3 linked regions of the Drosophila melanogaster genome follow. The protein of the gene in region 1 purifies or fractionates together with the protein of each later gene. This does not show direct contact. Each region holds a gene or a part of one and is shown in the gene's direction. Other genes may lie near its edges. The genes, in order: Clamp, Nelf-A and NELF-B.

Region 1 (5,995 bases):
TCATTACTCTTAACTCATTCTTAACATAACGGTTCAAAAACATAATTTCGGTTACATTCAAATACTGCGTTAGATCTACTCAATCTCCGACATACATATGTATATTAAGCCGATATAAAACACATGCGGTTTGAACACAGAATAAAAGCGGGAAAGATATATATCTTAATGTAAACACATAATTAATTTCTAATTTCTTTTACATCACAAGCAGCTAAACAGATATACATATATTTCATTTAAGTTCTATTACCACCAAATTATTTTTAAATAAGAGAGAACGCTTAAGCAAATTTGTTGGACATTGAGATACCGTTTACACAGCCAGAAGGAATGCAAAATATAAACAATGAAAACAAAAAGTTTTGGGTGTTGAATTGGTCGTGGCGAAATAGTTCAAGCATATCAATACAAATTATCAAGAAAAACAACTTAATTTTTTAAGATAAAGAACTTTTCAAAAGTATACGAACAGAAGGATTGGTAGCCGAAGACAAGAATATAAGCACGTTATAATGCCCGAAACGCTTCCTTCCGTTCCTTCTGACATAATTTTTTCCAAAACCATACACATAATCGTTCGAAATCACTACCATAAAACTTGTCTTTTCATTCCTCAAAAATAGCTAATAAATAAGCTTACTATCTCAAGACATTCCCTTAAATGCTGTTGTCATAAAAAACATTTGACCACGTTGGTTGCCTTGCCAACACTAATAAATTTTTGAATTTGGGCGCCGAGAGTATTTAAATCTTTTGGAAGCTGAAATTTTCCAACACCAAACAGGACTCGCAGAACTTTGTTCATCCAGGATCTTAAGCTCAAAACCAAAACGTATGCGAATTAAAATTGCTGCTATTTAATTATTTAAAAGAATAGTTTTTATTTTTTATTAATTAATATTTATTCGGCGACAGACTTCCTCACTTATACTATTACAAGACACTTTATTACTAGCTTATCTTTGATTTGAAGCTGTTCACGATCTCGTCCCGACTCAGACTGATCTTCTAAATCTTAATCCTAATCCACTCAACCTCGGCCAGAAGCTTTTCTTTAGGATTCTCTTAAGCTTTTTAATATGTTTAGGATAAAAGCTTTACACTGAAATTATTTCCCAGCATTGTGAAATTCAAATTTGCTGACTGACGCAGTTTGACTGAAGCGCAATAAGTTGACCATGGCTTGGTCTCCAAGTGGAAGTTGTGTTTACTTTAAGTTTGGTTATATATCGGGTGGCTAAGTGTTGGCGTCAAAAACAAGGGCAAAGGCAACGCTGCTGAGATTGGAGTTAGAAATTTGTTTAGCTTTTGGTAGAGTGCTATATTTATGGGTTGGATAACTTGCGTCACTACGTGGGGCATAAAAAATCTGTTGTCCCTTAACTCACTCCCCTACATCGAGTGATAAAGATAAATAGGAATTCCTAAAAGATTTAAGTATACAAAAATAAGTACGTTTTATATGGAATCTTTAAGAATTAGTTAAAAGTCGAGTGCCTGTAAAATTTCGTTATCTTATGGAATTTGTTATCAACCATGGCCCATGATCTTACCAAAGACACTAGAATATTCTAGTGTCTTTGCTCTTACAGTGTTACCTTAGCTTGTAGAATATTAAAAGTTAAGTCTCAATAAATTTAAAACGTGTTTTTAACGCAGCTCAGCACAAGATATTTCTTTTCGAAAGCTAGTAACAGCCAGATTCTACTGATCGTAGCGTTTGCCTTTTGAGTAAGAGACAACATGTAAGACAACATGTGATGTAATCCAAATTACGAAGTACAAAACGTATATAAAAATATTTATGTTTTCTGAGTTATCGAATTAGTGTAAAAGGGCTCTAAGAAATCCTACCAGTTCTTTGTGAATTTTGGTATATTTTCGAGGGAAATGATTATTTTCATGAGTCGTGAAACGGTCACACTTTTAAAAAGTAAAACTGCTGCTCGTCTGCTCTATCTCTGAGCGTTGTTCTGTCTCCATCTCTCTTTAGCAATCGTAAAAAATGATGGACTGAAAGTTAAAGTGCTGGAATTTGTTAGAAAAAGATAACACTATTTAAATATATATCTTGTATTATTCCAAACAATATATCGTTAAAATACGTTATCAATTCACGAATACAATTTTACACCACTCAAATCTTAACAATTTTATTGTGGAGCAGGCAGTGCGCAATTTATGGTGTGGTCCGGTTGCGTAAAAGGTAATTTTAATAATGAAAAAAATAACACATGTAGTGTAATATTGTATGATAAAAAAACAAATGTGCTAGACTCCAGTTTAGATACTAGAGTCTGTTAATGTAAAGAGCTGCTGCATTAAACGTTCGTCTGTGTATGTTTTGTGTCGCGTATGTACATATTTTTTGTCTCACCGTCGCCATTTTTAATCAGTCGTTTTCGCTGGGTTCCTATGGCACTATATTCATCTCTTTTTCTCTTTTATAGAATTAGCGTCGCGTGATGCAGTGTTGAAAAGCGCGACAGAGCTGCAGTAAATAAAAGGCCAACGTATGATAAAAGTTAATTTTTGAGCATACTCGAATTTTGGGGACCATGGAAGACCTTACCAAAAACATTATCTTCACAAATGCCATTAATGGGCAACCGGCCACAATTCAATACCAGACGGCGGATGGCACCATTCTTAAACAGCCCAAAATAGAGGGCCAAAAAACGGAGCAGCAGCCTACCTTCTATTACACGACAAATGTAAGTAGTTTACTTACTATATGTTATTGGTGCTGACTTTTCATATTGTCTTCACATAGGGCAATGGCGGTACCGTCAATCTCGCACAGCTGGCCACCACAGACGACAATAAGACGTGTTATATAGCCCAGCCCGTGGGCGGATACAATTACGCCCTGGTCAACGGAATGCCTCTCAATCAGGGTGCAGCTCTTGGCATCGCCACGGTAGACGCACAAGGCCGCATCCAGATTGTCAATCAAAATAAGCCAATTGCAGCTGTATGTAAAAGGAAGACTCGTTAAGCAAAGCCTAAAGATTTTCTTCTTTGCAGAACACCATATCCAACATAAGCTTTAAGTGTGACGTATGTTCAGATATGTTCCCTCATTTGGCACTTCTTAATGCTCATAAGCGGATGCATACAGACGGGGAACAGCAGCAACAACAGCAACATAACGCCCAAGCGGGCGGCGATTCTATTGCCGTGGTCAGCGCGCAGGGGCTTGTGCAGGCACAGAACATTATTGGAAATGGTCAGATGGGCCAGATACAGATTGTGTCTTCTGACACGCTGGAGCCGGTTCAGCAATCTGTAATGCAGCAGCAGCAACATGAGTCAAAGGCAAGCAAGTGCATAAATTGTGGAAGCTCTATGCTGCAGCAGTCCAAACGCAAAGGTCCAAAGCAGGTGCGCTGCGAGTCCTGCATGCAGGCTGAACAAACAGCGCAACAACAACAGCAGCTCTTCGTCGCCCAAGACGGTAGTTGTGAAAGATTACATTCTAAATGGACCATAACTAACTTCATCGCATCTTTTGCAGGTCAAATGGCGCATCCCGTGCAAATCATATCAACGACTCCTCAGGCCCAAGCACAACTTCAGCAAATTGTGGCTGCACAGACTGGCGGTACAACGCCAAAGCGAGAGGCGAGCAGTGGGTCTGGCCATCATCCTGTGAAAAAACGAAATTCCCAGCAGATGACCAAATGCCAGAAATGCAATGGCTCCGGCGTGGTGCTAGTGGGGCAGCACTCCCATGCTTCACACAGCGGGGTGGGCGGATCGGTAAAGCAATCAGTTACTGTTAAAACTGAGTGAGTATAACATGAAATTGCAACCTTATCCTACGCTAACAAAACCAAGGTGTTTGTCCTGCAGAAATCCGTCCAAACCCTTCAGTTGTAATATATGTGGTGGTCTGTTTTCACGTTACTCAAGTCTGTGGTCCCATAAAAAGCTGCACAGCGGTGAAAAAAACTACAAGTGCAGCATCTGTGGATTGGCCTTTGCTAAAGCCGTATATTTGAAAAACCACGCGCGCATTCATACAGGCGAGAAACCCTATAAGTAATACCAATCTTCTACTTGAAATTATACTCTTTATACTAATTACCGTTATCTTTACATAGATGCCAAACCTGCGGCATGCAGTTTTCACAGTCACCACACCTCAAGAACCATGAACGCACGCACAGTGGCGAGCGGCCCTATGTGTGCGGTGTTTGCGACAAAGGATTTGCGCGCCACGCTACTCTTTGGAATCATAGGCGCATTCACACGGGCGAAAAGCCATACAAGTGTGAAATTTGTGGATCGGCCTTTTCTCAGGCGGCGCACCTTAAGAACCACGCAAAGGTGCACTCCGGAGAAAAACCCTACAAGTGCGAGATTTGCTCTGCAGCATTCGCTGATCGTTTTGCACTCAAGCGTCACCGCGGCATACACCAAAAGTACGGCCAAACTGCTCCTCGCCAGACCAGCAGCGATGGGATGATAGTGCATAAGCAGGAGATTCCTGACATGGAGGATGAGGCCCAACAGGAAGTGATTATCGGTGGGTTATAGATAGTTTAAATGCAGAGGTGACAGGCAGCTTAATGAAGTCACAGACACTGGAGTCCACCCTGCTTAGCTTCAGTTTATCGAGCGTTACTATGATCATCTGCCTCCACCTATGCTAGCCCCAGAACCATCTCTAAGGGCGCATATATCACCACAATGATATTAAAGAATAGAAAACGATGTTCCATCGTTAACACTTCAGCTGCATATGTCCTTTCTCCACTTTCATGTGGGATCTTCAAAAATGGGCGAAACCCAAAAACGCTTTTTACGATAAGCATACAAATGAACCTAATTTATTTGATAGCTTGTATAATATACTTAAACATCTTTAAACATTAAACGCATATATGTATAGGCATCGTATTTATAAGTGTTATAGGCTATTCTCTTATACAAATTGTAGGTGTAAAATATGGATTTATTAGGTGACGATACGAGCAAATCCGATACGTATGAATATGCACAGGTAATAAACACACACATATAAGTTGAAAGTTGTAAGCTTAAATATATTTTAATTAAATCTATCTAATATAAGTATGTATTAAATAATGCATAAAATCAAATAAATATTTGAATAAAATACAATTTTTTACTAACCTACTCCATTTGCAAGTGCCTTAACGAAGAATAGAGGGATCCCAGAAATAGGCACATTTTCCACCGTTTTCGACGTCTTATGCGTTTTTTTTTTATTAATGTAAGCACCATTTCACTTTAAATATAATTTTTTTAGTGTTTTGCCACGTTCATCTTATTCTTACGTGAAGCTATAAGGTCAGTAAATTTTAATGTTGGCAATAATATAATTAATAAATACACAAAACTTTAAATATTCATAGACGTAAAAGAGTAAAATAAAGTTAAAATTTATCGAAAATTAGATGATGTGAATTACTGCTGTCTTTTCAAAAAAATTAGAGCTGTTGATTTGTAAAATGGACGCACTCTTTTAAACTTCTTATATTTATATTTTTGCGTATTATCTGTTAAAAATAAAATATTTTTACATATTTAAAGTAAAGTTGTGAAGTGGCAACGAATTTTTTACAATAATCAAAACCAAGTGTTTAAGAATTAGGATTCATGGCTTGTATAATAAAGCTTTAAATTACTAGAATTCGCCATCAGTTAAATCAAGATAAATACGTATACGTATACATTTGCGAACATGGACTTTGCTTAGGGTCCATTTTTGAATTTGCGGTCATTACAAACTTATATTCATATGTATATAGGATTATTCAAGAATGAATACATTTTAGTTACACGGGATTGTAGTTTTGTTTCTTTTAATGTCAACTGGTTTGCATGCACTATGCAATCATGATTATATAGGAAGATCTGTGTCTGTGGTTGGTCCACTTTTTATTTAATATTTCTGCTACAGCTTAAAAACTAAATCGTTACAAAGTTACGGAAAGGATGCGTACCACAATCCATATTTATC
Region 2 (7,892 bases), on another chromosome or scaffold:
CCGTGGGTCTTTAGAGGCGGCCTCATTGCCGACCTGCAACGCCTGATGCCTGTGGACTCGGGCAACGACCTGTTCGTGTACAAGCTTCCGGAACAGCCCACGGCCAACTACTATCTCTTGAGACCTTACTGCAATTCGGACGAACAGCAAGTCAACGATTTGTGCACTCGCCTGTATTTGCAGTGGCGGGGAGAGCTGGACGGAGGCAGGCACATTCCGTTCCCGCTGCCGGCGAATGTGCCAAACATTGTGGCGGATGGGCTGATCGGTGGATATCTCACCCTCAGTCCGCAACTGTGCATTGTGGCCTACGACGAGAGTAACCGTATCATTGGATATTCATGCGCCGCCCTGGATGTCAACATATTTCGACGCAACCTGGAGCTGTGCTGGTACACGGAACTGCGTGAGAAGTACTCTAGAGATATTTGTCCACTGGAGGGTGGCGAGGAGGTTGTACAGCTCGTCACCTCCCTTGTGGAGAGTTATCATGACAGCAGCGGTAACGGGGCTCTGGACCAGTGTCCCGTAGAGGTGAGCGGCTCCTTCCCTGCCGTGTTGATCTCCGGAACTTTGCGCGAAGCGGAGGAGCGCGACTCGGGAATAACCAAGCGGATGCTCACCGTACTTCTGGCCGCCCTGCGTGCGAACGGCTGCTTTGGTGCTCACGTTCGCGTTCCGCAACAAGATGTCGCCCAGGTGAACTTTTATTCCAGAATCGGTTTCGTGGATGTCTATCGCGAGGAGGCCACCAAGTGTATTTACATGGGTCGCCGTTTCTAGCGTAGCTGGTTGCCACCTTCACTGCCTCCACTTTTAATGTTCCTTCATCTTTGGTATTCCGGCTAGCGGTGCTAGCTACTCACGTCATGTCCTCGTCCTTTTTGTATTCCCTTGAGGTATAAAGTTTGTATAACTGACCAACCCTTCCAGCATTTATCGTAAGCATTGTTTTCTTACTGAGAAAAACAATAAAAATACCAATTTAATAAAACTTTTGCTAGCTTTTGTTCAGGTCGTAGAACCAGACGGTGTTTACTCCGTCCTCTATAATCTTCACGTGCTCTAGGCTGGGTAGTGGAAAGCGGCAGGCGATAATCTTGGTGTTGTGCGGACACTCAGCAATGAGTTTGTGTTCTAGATCTTGCATCATCTGCTCAACCCCAAAAATGACCACGAAGTTGTAGTCCTTTATATCGAACTTCCAGAGATCTCGCCGAAAAAATCTCGTCCGTTTGGAAACGCTGTGACGCAGCGCGGCCAGGCGCGAGTAGTAGACCAGCCATGGGTTTAGCTCCACGCCATCTGCTTTTAGAGCACCACAATGCTGTGCCGCAGCTGGAAAGAATTACATAAGTTATCTGCAATGTTTTTAAATGGACTAGGTGAAGCGTACTTACCCACTACAATCCGTCCGTCGCCGGATCCAATGTCCAGCAGTTTTCCGGCCGAATTCTTGGGCAGGAAGCTGAGAACGTTCTGTATTTGCTCGGTCGTCGCTGGCACATAAGGCAAGCAAATCCTCCGGAATGCAGGCGCCACAAAGGAGGCGCACACAATCGACAGACCGATACCTACTCCGCCCGTTGCTGCTATCAGGATCTTGCCGCCCGTGGACATGCCACTTTTCGGCGTCTTGGCAAGCGGATTCGGAGCAGATTCGTTGAGGAGTTCCATTTCTATTATCAGAAATTCATGTTTACCTCAATTGCTTAGTATTCAGCGATTATTTATCGATAGCTGGTAGCCCTGCAGGGGGCGCTGTTACAACGGCGTTTTGCACCACTGGACCGTGCACACTGTTTGACATGTGGCAACACTTTTTTCGTGCGTTTGATGTGTGCGTGCGCTTCCTATTACAATTTTTTCGAAGGATTTTTCGTGTGTCTTGTTGACGTGCAGCGCGGCAGAAAGTGAAAAACGCCATCAAATAGTGCCGTGCAACAGGGCGGGTCAACGTTTGGCATAAATTGCAGTGTGTGCCCCGCGTGCGGACAGGCGTAATTCGAAAAAATGGCGAACGTAAGGGACAGCGACACATCACTGTGGCTGCATAATAAACTGGGCACCTCGAACGACTCGTGGATAAACGGCTCCATCTGCTCGCAGCTGAACAAGGAGGTGCTGCGCAACATCAAGGAATGCTTCCCCGATCTGCAAACGCAGGTCAAACTGAAGCTCCTACTCAGCTTCCTTCACATCCCGCGCCGTCTGGTGGAGGAGGTAAATGAAATCCAATGAATTGAAATGGCGTTGGTGTATGGAAAAAGTACACCAGTGCATACGCACGCATACTGCGGCCCGCGCGCACACGTACACGGAGTACACTTACCGTTGTTGAAACAAAAAGTGCGGACAATTTTTAAATACTCGGAAAATCTCTTAGATCCCATCACCTGGCGGACCCCAAAGCACATTTCTTCGCCTTTTAACATTTCCCCCCCGGGCGATTTCGCGGGTTGGTGAAAATAAATATTAGCAACGTTTCCCGCCACTTCTGCTTTTGTGTACACATTTCTCTCTCTCCGACACTTGTGCGTGGATTTCTCTCCCGTGTGCCTCGGTGTGTTCATGTGTGAGTGGGCTGTTGTGGGTGGCCGCGGATTCATTTGTTTGTTGTGCCCTTCCCACAGAGCAATTCGAATTTTATCAGACGTTTGACATCGCAGTTAAAAGATACATTTGTATCTCCAGGCTGCTGAGCTGGTAGACCAAGTATAAATACAAATAACTATTGATTTTTTATTTGATTTGCAACGTGCCGTTATAGTGTAATTAAAATCTGTATTTAATCGATCATACCAGGACTACCAGATCGTAAATATTCATTGTATCTATTACCTGAAAGTGTATTTGAGCATCGAGTTGTCAATTTATTTATGCAACCCAACCCATTGTTGATTTGATTGCAATTTGCAGTGGAAGGCGGAACTTGAGGAGGTGATCGAGGTAGCCGGCCTGGATTCAGAGCTATGGGTTTCCATGCTGGCGGAGACGATGAAGACCTTTCCGGCGACCAGTTCGCTCAACACCGAGATCTCCGATTACGAGGACACGCGTCCCATCTTCATAGACATGGTCAACGACCTGCGCAAGCTGGTCACAAAGCATTCGGACCTCGGCATGCTGCCTCTGGAGTGCCAGTACCTAAATAAAAACGCACTGATCTCAGTGGTGGGTATAGACAAACTTACTAAATCTTACCTGTTTTGAACTAATAATTTTTTCTTGTTTAATTCAGGTGGGCCAGCAACCCGCTCCCGTCAAGCATTTTACGCTGAAGCGCAAGCCGAAGAGCGCCCAGTTGCGCACCGAATTGTTACACAAGTCAGCCGATGCGCAGTCCTCGCTGAAGAAGGCCTCGGCCCCCACAATACCGCTGCGATCGCGTGGCATGCCACGTAAGATGACAGACACTACCCCGCTGAAGGGAATCCCATCTCGCATGCCCACCACTGGGTTCCGTTCGGCCACCGTGCCGGGAAATGCCGCCCAGCGCCCCAATCTCAGTCGAACGCCTGCTGGACGCAAAGACGGTGGCATTAAACTGATCGAATTCACCGAACAGCCCTTGGGTTATGCGGCGGCTAAGAAGCGAAAGCGCGAGCAGCAACTGGAAGAGCAGCAAAAGAAGCAGGAGCAGAAACAGCAACAGGCAGCTGCAGCGGCAGCTGCGGCCGCCACAGCAGCGGCAAGCAATGCTGGTGACAGCTCACCAACGGACGCGGCGACTGCCAGTGGAGGCGAAACACCCGTCACGCCCACGTCAGCTAACAACAGCTTCGAAATCAAAATGGAACCGCAGCAACTCAACCAGAGCGCTGGAAGCCTGGAAGAGCCGCAAGACGATGAGATGTCTGGCAAAGCGAATATGGAATGCGATATCGAGACGCCGGAGTACGCTACAGCCACGCTGGACTTTGCCCAGGCCACTTCGACGTCCGTGGCGGATGGTCAACCGGGAAAACCAGCAGTAGAAACGAAGCTGAAGACGCCGCGAACTCCGAAATCCGCAGCAAAACTGAACAACAACAACAACAACAACAACAACAACAGCTTCAATCACACCCCAAAACGAATCAAGCAGGAAATAGAGATCAAGAGCGAGGAGATCATAGTACCCGCCAGCATCAAACTCGAAAAGATCGAAACTTCACCGTCGACCCAACGCGTCAGTATCCAGCAACAGCCGCCTAGTTTGGTGCAGCGCACCCCGCACCTGCTTATCCGCAGTTCGCCGCAGAAGCGGCAGAACAACGGGGCAACCACGAGTGCAGGCACAACCACAACCACTGTGGGCAATACCACCATCAAGATGGAGAAGCTGGACATCAAGCCAATGATACGCGCCACCGGTGTCTCGCCTTCGACGAGTGCGGGCACTACGACTACACTTCTTACCCCGCAGCAACTGCGTCAGGCGGCCAATCCGTTGGCCAATCTGCCCAACAATATCTCCGTGAAGATAACCTCTGCCAAGGCGAAAGCGGCAGCTGCAGCAGCGGCAACATCCAGTGGCAGCCAGACTCAGTCGCAGCAGCCGCAAACGTTGCAGGTTCAGCAGGCGCCTCAGCAGTCGCATCCCCCGCTTTTGATTAACAGCTCCACACCCGTGATCTTGGCGTCCTCGCCCAGCGCTCAGAGAGCGGTAAGTATAAAATTATGCGTAGCTCTATTGGAGAACTTTTAGTTAGGAATTTCTTTAATTTTCCTGGACAAATATTTGAAATTCTATCACCTGCCATAATGAAACTTAGTCCCTCTTTGCTAATTAACTTAATTCTTCGGTTGCAGAAGGCTTTGGCTTTGCCTAGTAGCAGTACCTCCGCCACAACTACCACGACGATACCGTCGCAAGCCATAAAGACGATGCCACTGAGCCAGCTGAAGACGGCTACCAACAGCGGACCAGTGATCATATCGCAGACTATTATCCAGCCGGCAAAGCGAGCCCAACAACAGGCTGGAACCTCCAGTGCAGCGGCCGCTTCGCAACAGCAGCAGCAACAACAGTCGCAGCAGCAATTGTTACACCAGCAAATCCAGCAGCAGACCCAACAGCAGGCGCAGTTACCACAGCAGCCTCAGCAGCAACAGACGCAGTATATTCTAGCCACACCCCAGCAGCAACCGCAACAAATTCAACAGCAGCAACAACAGCAACAGCCCATTTTGCCAACGCTTACCTCGTTCTCACACAGTCGGCCTATGCCGCAGACTACGACGCTTTACCAAGCCACTACTCCTAGCGGAAGCGGTCAGACGCCGACCAAGATTTTGCTAAAGACATCGGGCTCTTCAAGCGTGGTGATGACGCCTCTGCGCCAAGCGCAGCCGCAACAGGCCACCGCTGTGGTGTCGTCGAATCCTCCGCCATTGGTGGCCACTTCGGCGGCAGTAGTTTCCCCGGGTCAGACAACCCTGAACATTCAGAATGTGCAGCTACCCAATCGACCAGTGACCATCCAACCAGCCTCCCAAGCCGCCCAGCAGCAGCATATGCAGGCCCAGTTGCAGCAGCAGCAACCGCATCCACAGCACACGATCGTTGCCAATACGACGGCCACGCAGCAGCCCAAGTTGTCTCAGGTTCTAATGCAGCCAACTGCAGCAGTTGGCACCAGTGGTGTATCCGCTCTGAACGTATCCCCTACGTCCGGAAAGAACAAGACCATCATACTCACCCAGAAGGGCGTTATACTGCGCAACATTGGCGGCGATATGTACCAGCAAATACCAATCAGCAATGTGGGCAACATGCAGGGACTCGGAGGCACCACGCTGATGACAACCACAGCTGGGCCGCCGAGTCTGGTGAAGACAACACCCTCGAGCGGTGTACAGTTGCAGCAGCAACAGTCTGGAAAGCAGATCCTGCCCACTCTCATACCAACCAGCTCGCTTGGAGGACAGCACGTTATTGTGCAGCAGCAGCAACCCACCAATGTCATCGGGAATGTAAGTGTATAAATTATGTTTTGCCAAACATTATTGGCAATAGAAATCGTAAATCTCTTTTCCCCACGTCCACTATGTTGCTATATGTAAAAATCTAACCACATTTGTATCTATCAGTCCCAACAGCAGACCATCATTCGGCCCGTTATGACCAACGTGGGCGGAGGCTTGACCACGCTGCCGCAGGGCCTGACGCTAATTCAACGGCCGGGCCAGCAGCCGCAGCTGGTGCAGGTGCAGGCGGCGCCGGGCAGCACGCAGCGCACGATTATTACCCAATCGAACACGGCGGCGGCGGCGTCGCAACAGCAGCCGCGCCAGCAGCAGCAACAAATCCTGGTCCAACACAAGCCGGCTCCGACCCTGCAGCAGCGTTTGGTCACCTCCACCACCAGCGGTGGACAGGGACAGCAGGGAAATCCGAATGCGGGGCTCCCGCGTACCGTGCAGGTGCAGGTGCAAGCTCAGCAGCAGCAGCAACCACAGCAGCAGCAAGCTACGCAACAGCAATCGCAGCAGGCACCCCAGCGACGTGGACTCTCTCTATCGGTAACAACATTGCACATATTTCTTTAAAATTAGATTTCAATCCTGTCCTGTGGTTTCTTCTAGAACGAACACGTGCACAAGGCGCACGAAATGTTCCGCAAGGCAAATCGCGTCTCGCGACCTGACAAAGCCCTTATCCTTGGATTTATGGCGGGTCTGCGGGAAAACCCGCGCCCAAATAACGAAAACGTGCTGGTCATCAAGTTGGGCGAAACAGAGGTAAGGCTATTTGCGATTTATTTCAAGCTTCTGCCTTGGTTAATTCTCAATGCTTTATGTCAATTGTTACAGGAAAAAGTACAACAGGACAACGGCCACACGGCACTGTGCCTGGTTGAGTCACACATCCGGCTGGACTACAACACCGGTGAGTGGAAGACATTCCAAAACTACAGGCTGCAGGACCAGAGTGCCGCCTCATAGTCCACAAGGGTCATACGCATAGTTCGCAGCAACAAGTGAGCAGGGACAGCCAGGCTGCAACTGGTTTGTGCGTATATGGATTGTTGAATATGTATTTTAATTTGTCATCCGTTCTGCATGGGCTGCTTCGCTGCCGCCCCTAATTAGGCTATTATAAACCCCCTCTCTCCTAAAAACCCTCACCACAACCTCCCGCAGTCAGCAAGACGCCCTAAGAAATGCTGGATATAATGAAACTATTTTATAATTAAGATAATTTAGCTGTACAGTTGTTTAGAATGTAGTAAAGGCTAGCGCTTAAACATTTAGTAAACAGGCCCGTTCGTACATCCATAAAAACACCCATTCATCCAAGCACACTGGCATAATCACCTCTGGCTGAACGCTTCACTGGAGAGCAGTTGGCAAGGCGGATGGGCCAGAAGTGAGCGTTTGGACGGATCACATAGGCACACACACATGCCTCACACATGCATTTTAAAACTGCATATATATACCTAGCTTATGTAATTGCTGTCGAGTAAAAAGTGTGTAATTATCTTACCAAGCAGCATAAAATTTAGAGACGCTGATCGGCGCTCGTATTCATTAGAAATCTAATGAAAATATATTTAGTTTTAGATATATATGTATGAGTCGCAGCCACCACAGCAAAATTAACTTAAATCTTGAAATGTGTAATAGACAAACAATAAAACTAGCATATGTATTTATGGCTTAAATGTTAAAACATCTGCTCTTGTGCTTGATTATGGAAAATGTAGGTCATGCAAACGTCAACTCACTCGGATATTCAAACACTCGATCAATTGATCAATTTGGTTATCAAGTGGTCTGCGCCCAAGTGGAATTCTAAAGACCTATTGGCGTGGTATGTGATTGAATTTTGAAATTGGCTGTAAGAGCAGTTGTAATACCAATAATCATTGGGAAAATAATTCCTCTTATACAATGTATAAGAT
Region 3 (4,616 bases), on another chromosome or scaffold:
ATACAGTGTCATCCGAGACGCCCTCCTCGTAGGCGGTCAGGATGAAGGTTTCCGCCTCATCGCTGACCAGGGTGATCTGCGAGGTGCCGTGATGTGAGGAGAGCGTGGCGGTATCGTGATCCGATTGCCCGTCATCGTCCATCACCTCGTCGTCGTCATCGTCCACATGCTGTTTCAAATGCAGCATAGCTCCAATGGGCAATGTGGTACTATTCGCGCCTCCAATGCCTCCACCGGCGCCGGCAACCCCACTCGTCTCATAGGTGATCTGTGTGTTCCGGTGCGATTTCAGTTTCGGCTGGTACACCTTCGACAGGAAGTCCAGCTCCTTGGCGTAGCGCCACTTGGATAGCCGCCCTTCGATGTACTTGGGCGTGCGCAGACGGTACTGGTGGAAAGTGTCCCGCAGGTTCTTCCACTTACGACGCACCTCCTGCACCGTGTACTTGTCTGGAAGAAAGAAAGAGGTAGTATAAATATGAGCGGGGTTTCAAAGGAATCGTATTCCTTTTACAGATAATTGATACAAGCTAGAACCTCTTCAAAGGCATCACATTTATGAAAACGTTTCTAAGTAACGATGAAATTATGAGTTGTGTTATAGTAGCCGGCGCCAGAACACTAGCCTATCAATACAATATGCATGTGGTATTTAAAACCAACTTTAGCGGAAGCTTATATTAATTCTGGAAGAAGGCTAATAGTCGGACATGAAGCAGGCCATGACTAGCACTCACTTCCTATCTGCTGGGCCACCTCCTGCCATCCGTTGAGGACATCGGAGCGGCGTCGCTGGTTCGGCTGCAGTTTGTAGTTGTAGAGAACCGGATTCTGGCGCACCAGGTTGATCAGCGTAAGGATGTCGTCCGTGGGCGCGTTGTCCTTGTGGTAGCGCTTGCGCTCTTGCGTCGACGAGGACATGTTGCTTCAGCTTCTGTGGGTTTCCACTGTTGTGCTCTCCCAAATCCTGATGATCCTTATCCCGATACCAATGCTGCTCCTCACATTCAGGTGTTTTGTTTTTGTTTACCCACGAAAAGAGAGGCTTTCGTTCTCGTCGAAATGCACGCACAAACACATACACAAGCGCACTTGAACGGAGCCAAACACCAGCTTATGTAGGTGTAGGAACACGCACGCACACACTCTCGCACACTCGATGCAAAGGATAGCGACTGTGTGCAGCAGGATCTCCTTTGTAGTCGCTACGGGGCACGAATCTCGGCAAGAATCGAGACGCCTTGTCCTTGGCGTTCAGCTCCAATTGTGCGAATTTGACTGCACTTGATGCTCTTGCTTTGCTTTTGGCTGTTTTTGCTGTTGCTTATTTCGCGCTAGGGATGACACATCGCGGAATTGGCGTTCTCTTTCGCCGTCACTGAAAAGCAAAAGTCCGTTTCCCTGTATTTATAATCCTCAATTAAAAGTTACGTTCTTATACAATTAAGTCGTATGGGAATGATGTTCTAAGGCAAACTAATTAAAGGTTTTTATTTTTTGAGTTCAGTTTTTTTACCAACACTATTAGAAATTAGACTTATATTGTATTTGTGGCCCATATAATTTTTTTTTATTATCTTTATTAATTTTTGTAACATTTACCATTCTACCAATAATAATAATACAACTATTTGTTGGCAAAATAATATTAATAACTACATGTTAAACATACAAAGTTGGCTATTACAAGCCGTGCTGATACGTGCACTATCGATAACACCGCACATGTGCAAGCCTGCGCTTATTTTTTTGTCTCCTCGCTAGCAATAAAAAACAACACAATTGTGTAGCTTCGTGTCTTGTTTTGCTCAATTTGCCGACGAATTGCATGATAATGAGCACACCGGCGAAAAATAACAATGGAACTGGACTGGAGGACGTGAATATTCCGGGTCAGGCCTATCTGCGCGAGGCCCTGACCTCCTGCACTGATCCCTTGAAGGCCATCGAGAGTTTTCAGGTTTGTTTACGTTGCACCGAAAAATGGGCGCCAAAAGTTCGGTGGGCTTATTTATCCAAATATCACCTGCCTTTTTAGCTTGAGAATGGTGTATTGCTGCCTTCACTGCGCCCCATGTTGCCTTTACTCGATTTGCACGGCGTGCGTCGACTGGACTTTCATACCTCGCTGATGGAGGAGCTGCGCGACAAGCTGATAGCTCACATCAACGAGATGGGCCAAAAGGAGCCCCGGGAGCGGGACAAGAAGCTCAAGGAGCTGCTCGTTAAGAGCTTCCCCGTCGTTCGGGTGAAGTCGCTGCGGCCCGTGGTCATGGCCATATTGAGGAATACCCAGCACATCGATGACAAGTACCTCAAAATCCTTGTAAGGGATCGGGAACTGTATGCGGACACGGATACGGAAGTTAAGCGGCAGATATGGCGTGATAATCAATCGTTGTTTGGTGACGAGGTGTCGCCTCTCCTCTCACAATATATTCGCGAGAAGGAGCACATCCTGTTTGATCACACCAACTTGAACAATCTGTTCTTCCACCCAACGCCCAAGGTGCGAAGGCAGGGGGAAGTAGTCCAAAAGTTGGCCAACATGATTGGCACCAGTGTCAAGCTGTACGATATGGTGCTGCAGTTCCTGCGCACTCTATTCCTGCGCACCCGCAATGTTCACTATTGCACGCTGCGTGCAGAGCTACTGATGGCCTTACACGATCTCGAGGTGCAGGAGATCATCTCGATAGATCCCTGTCACAAGTTCACCTGGTGCCTGGACGCCTGCATAAGGGAGAAGAATGTGGACATTAAACGTTCACGGGAGCTCCAGGGATTTCTTGACAACATCAAGCGCGGTCAGGAGCAGGTTCTGGGCGATCTGTCCATGACTTTGTGCGATCCGTATGCCATCAACTTTTTGGCCACGTCGGCCATCAAGATATTGCATCACTTGATCAACAACGAGGGCATGCCGCGTGACAATCAGATACTCATCCTGTTGTTGAGAATGTTGGCCTTGGGCTTGAGTGCCTGGGTGATGATCGATTCGCAAGACTTTAAGGAGCCCAAACTTGATTGCCAGGTGGTCACCAAGTTTTTGCCCGCCCTCATGTCGTTAATGGTTGACGACCAGTGCCGCAGCTTGCACGCGAAACTACCGCCGGACGAGCGTGAATCTGCTCTGACCACCATCGAGCATTCGGGACCGGCACCGGATGCCGTGGAGGCGTACATTCAAGAGAGTTCCGTGGCCAGCATATTGGCCATGTACTATACGCTGCACACGGCGCGCCTGAAGGATCGCGTGGGCGTGTTGCGCGTCTTGGCCATTCTGTCCGCCTGCAAAGACGACCGCGCATATGAGGATCCCTTCCTGCACTCTCTGGTTAGCATTTATAGCTGCTTTTCTAATATTTACTTTTCTGACTCGATTGCTTACCTCTACAGATTGCCCTGCTCATCCCCATGAGCGAAGAGTTTGCCACGGAGGACTTCTGCACCACGCTCTTCGACGAGTTCATCTTTGCCGGACTGACGCGCGAGAATGTGACCTCTCGTCACATGCTGAAACTTTTGTGGTATGTGCACAATAAGCTGCCCGCCGGTCGTTTGGCCACATTGATGAAGGCTATGCAGCCGACGACGGCCCACAACGAGCACATCCACAAGTTGTACGAAATTCTGCAGGAGAGAATCGGCACCGGGGCGGCGGAGACGCCGGTCATTGAAGCGCCGCCCATGGAGTTTGATTCGCCGCTAAAGAGTGTGCCAACGCCAGGACCGCACTATAATGTCCAATAGCTAGAGGCACCGGCAGTCGCACCACCTGCGGCTGTCGTCGGATGATGATGGTTATTTGTGATGATGATGTTGATGTTGATGATGATGATCGGAGGCCATGTATGTGGCTACCTCATATACTTCTCTGGAGCAGCCGACCGGATGGCAATCCCCAATTAGCATGCTTGCGCAAATAATAATTCTACTGTTTAGACTAAACATAAAGCACTGCGACCGAGCAATCGGATATAGTTTACATATTTACAGAATGTATGGCTTTGTTGGCAGGCATCAATCAGTTGTCGCTGGCTATTATATATATTATATATTACTGTTACGCTAGTGTAACGATCGATTCTAGTACACAATATAGAGTACAAATCTAAGGCAATGTCTTTTAGTTTCATCAGGGTTTTTGAAAGAAATATTGGTTCCCGGTACCAGTTTCTGTAATCACATACTCAACTTTTAACTCATCTTTACTCAAATTTAATGATTTACATAACTGGAGTTTCTTACGGACATGGATAATTGAAAGATCCTAATAAATTTCGGTATAAAAGTTTTTTAACGCTTATAGCTTAGGGAAATACACACAATTTAGGAGGTTTATTAGGGATAGGAGTCTTTCGTCTCATGTCTGATCTGTTTTGGAACTGGAAACTGGAGCTGATCCCGCTACGGAAGCGGCCGGAGATGTGGAAGCAGCCCCACCGGACGTGGACGCTGGCGAAACTTCCACGGGAGAGGTATCCAACGGAGGTAGTGAAGATGAGGCCGACAAAATCTCATCATCTATGCAAACGGTGGGCGAGTCTAGAGTTTGAATCTCTGGCGAGAGACTAGGAGCTGGCTGTGGCACAGACAGCGATGACGTGGATGAT

The links.
Region 2: the proteins of Clamp (region 1) and Nelf-A purify together in Drosophila melanogaster (affinity purification with western blotting, with the first as the bait; one study listed by BioGRID). This does not show direct contact.
Region 3: the proteins of Clamp (region 1) and NELF-B purify together in Drosophila melanogaster (affinity purification with western blotting, with the first as the bait; one study listed by BioGRID). This does not show direct contact.

What each region holds. Positions count from the first base shown.
Region 1 is NT_033779.5:22,165,102-22,171,096, reverse strand, and holds Clamp (Chromatin-linked adaptor for MSL proteins), read left to right. Parts: upstream 1-1,953; 5' UTR 1,954-2,209; intron 2,210-2,453; 5' UTR 2,454-2,561; coding exon 2,562-2,717; intron 2,718-2,776; coding exon 2,777-2,977; intron 2,978-3,030; coding exon 3,031-3,460; intron 3,461-3,520; coding exon 3,521-3,794; intron 3,795-3,843; coding exon 3,844-4,047; intron 4,048-4,109; coding exon 4,110-4,545; 3' UTR 4,546-5,377; downstream 5,378-5,995. UniProt on the Drosophila melanogaster protein: Transcription factor involved in X-chromosome dosage compensation in males, the process by which transcription of the single X chromosome in the male is elevated. Binds to the DNA sequence (GA)n.
Region 2 is NT_033777.3:21,221,857-21,229,748, forward strand, and holds Nelf-A (negative elongation factor A), read left to right. Parts: upstream 1-1,847; 5' UTR 1,848-2,013; coding exon 2,014-2,223; intron 2,224-2,332; exon of another isoform or gene 2,333-2,733; intron 2,734-2,919; coding exon 2,920-3,174; intron 3,175-3,241; coding exon 3,242-4,648; intron 4,649-4,794; coding exon 4,795-5,958; intron 5,959-6,075; coding exon 6,076-6,507; intron 6,508-6,570; coding exon 6,571-6,726; intron 6,727-6,798; coding exon 6,799-6,930; coding exon of another isoform or gene 6,931-6,969; 3' UTR 6,970-7,656; downstream 7,657-7,892. Other genes in the region: Oga (O-GlcNAcase), read left to right, coding at 1-783; CG3337 (uncharacterized protein), read right to left, coding at 1,001-1,338, 1,401-1,677. UniProt on the Drosophila melanogaster protein: Essential component of the NELF complex, a complex that negatively regulates the elongation of transcription by RNA polymerase II. Has an essential role in postembryonic development.
Region 3 is NC_004354.4:7,725,496-7,730,111, reverse strand, and holds NELF-B (NELF-B), read left to right. Parts: upstream 1-1,750; 5' UTR 1,751-1,828; coding exon 1,829-1,960; intron 1,961-2,038; coding exon 2,039-3,337; intron 3,338-3,399; coding exon 3,400-3,753; 3' UTR 3,754-4,116; downstream 4,117-4,616. Other genes in the region: CG12155 (uncharacterized protein), read right to left, coding at 1-450, 738-921; hira, read right to left, coding at 4,367-4,616. UniProt on the Drosophila melanogaster protein: Essential component of the NELF complex, a complex that negatively regulates the elongation of transcription by RNA polymerase II.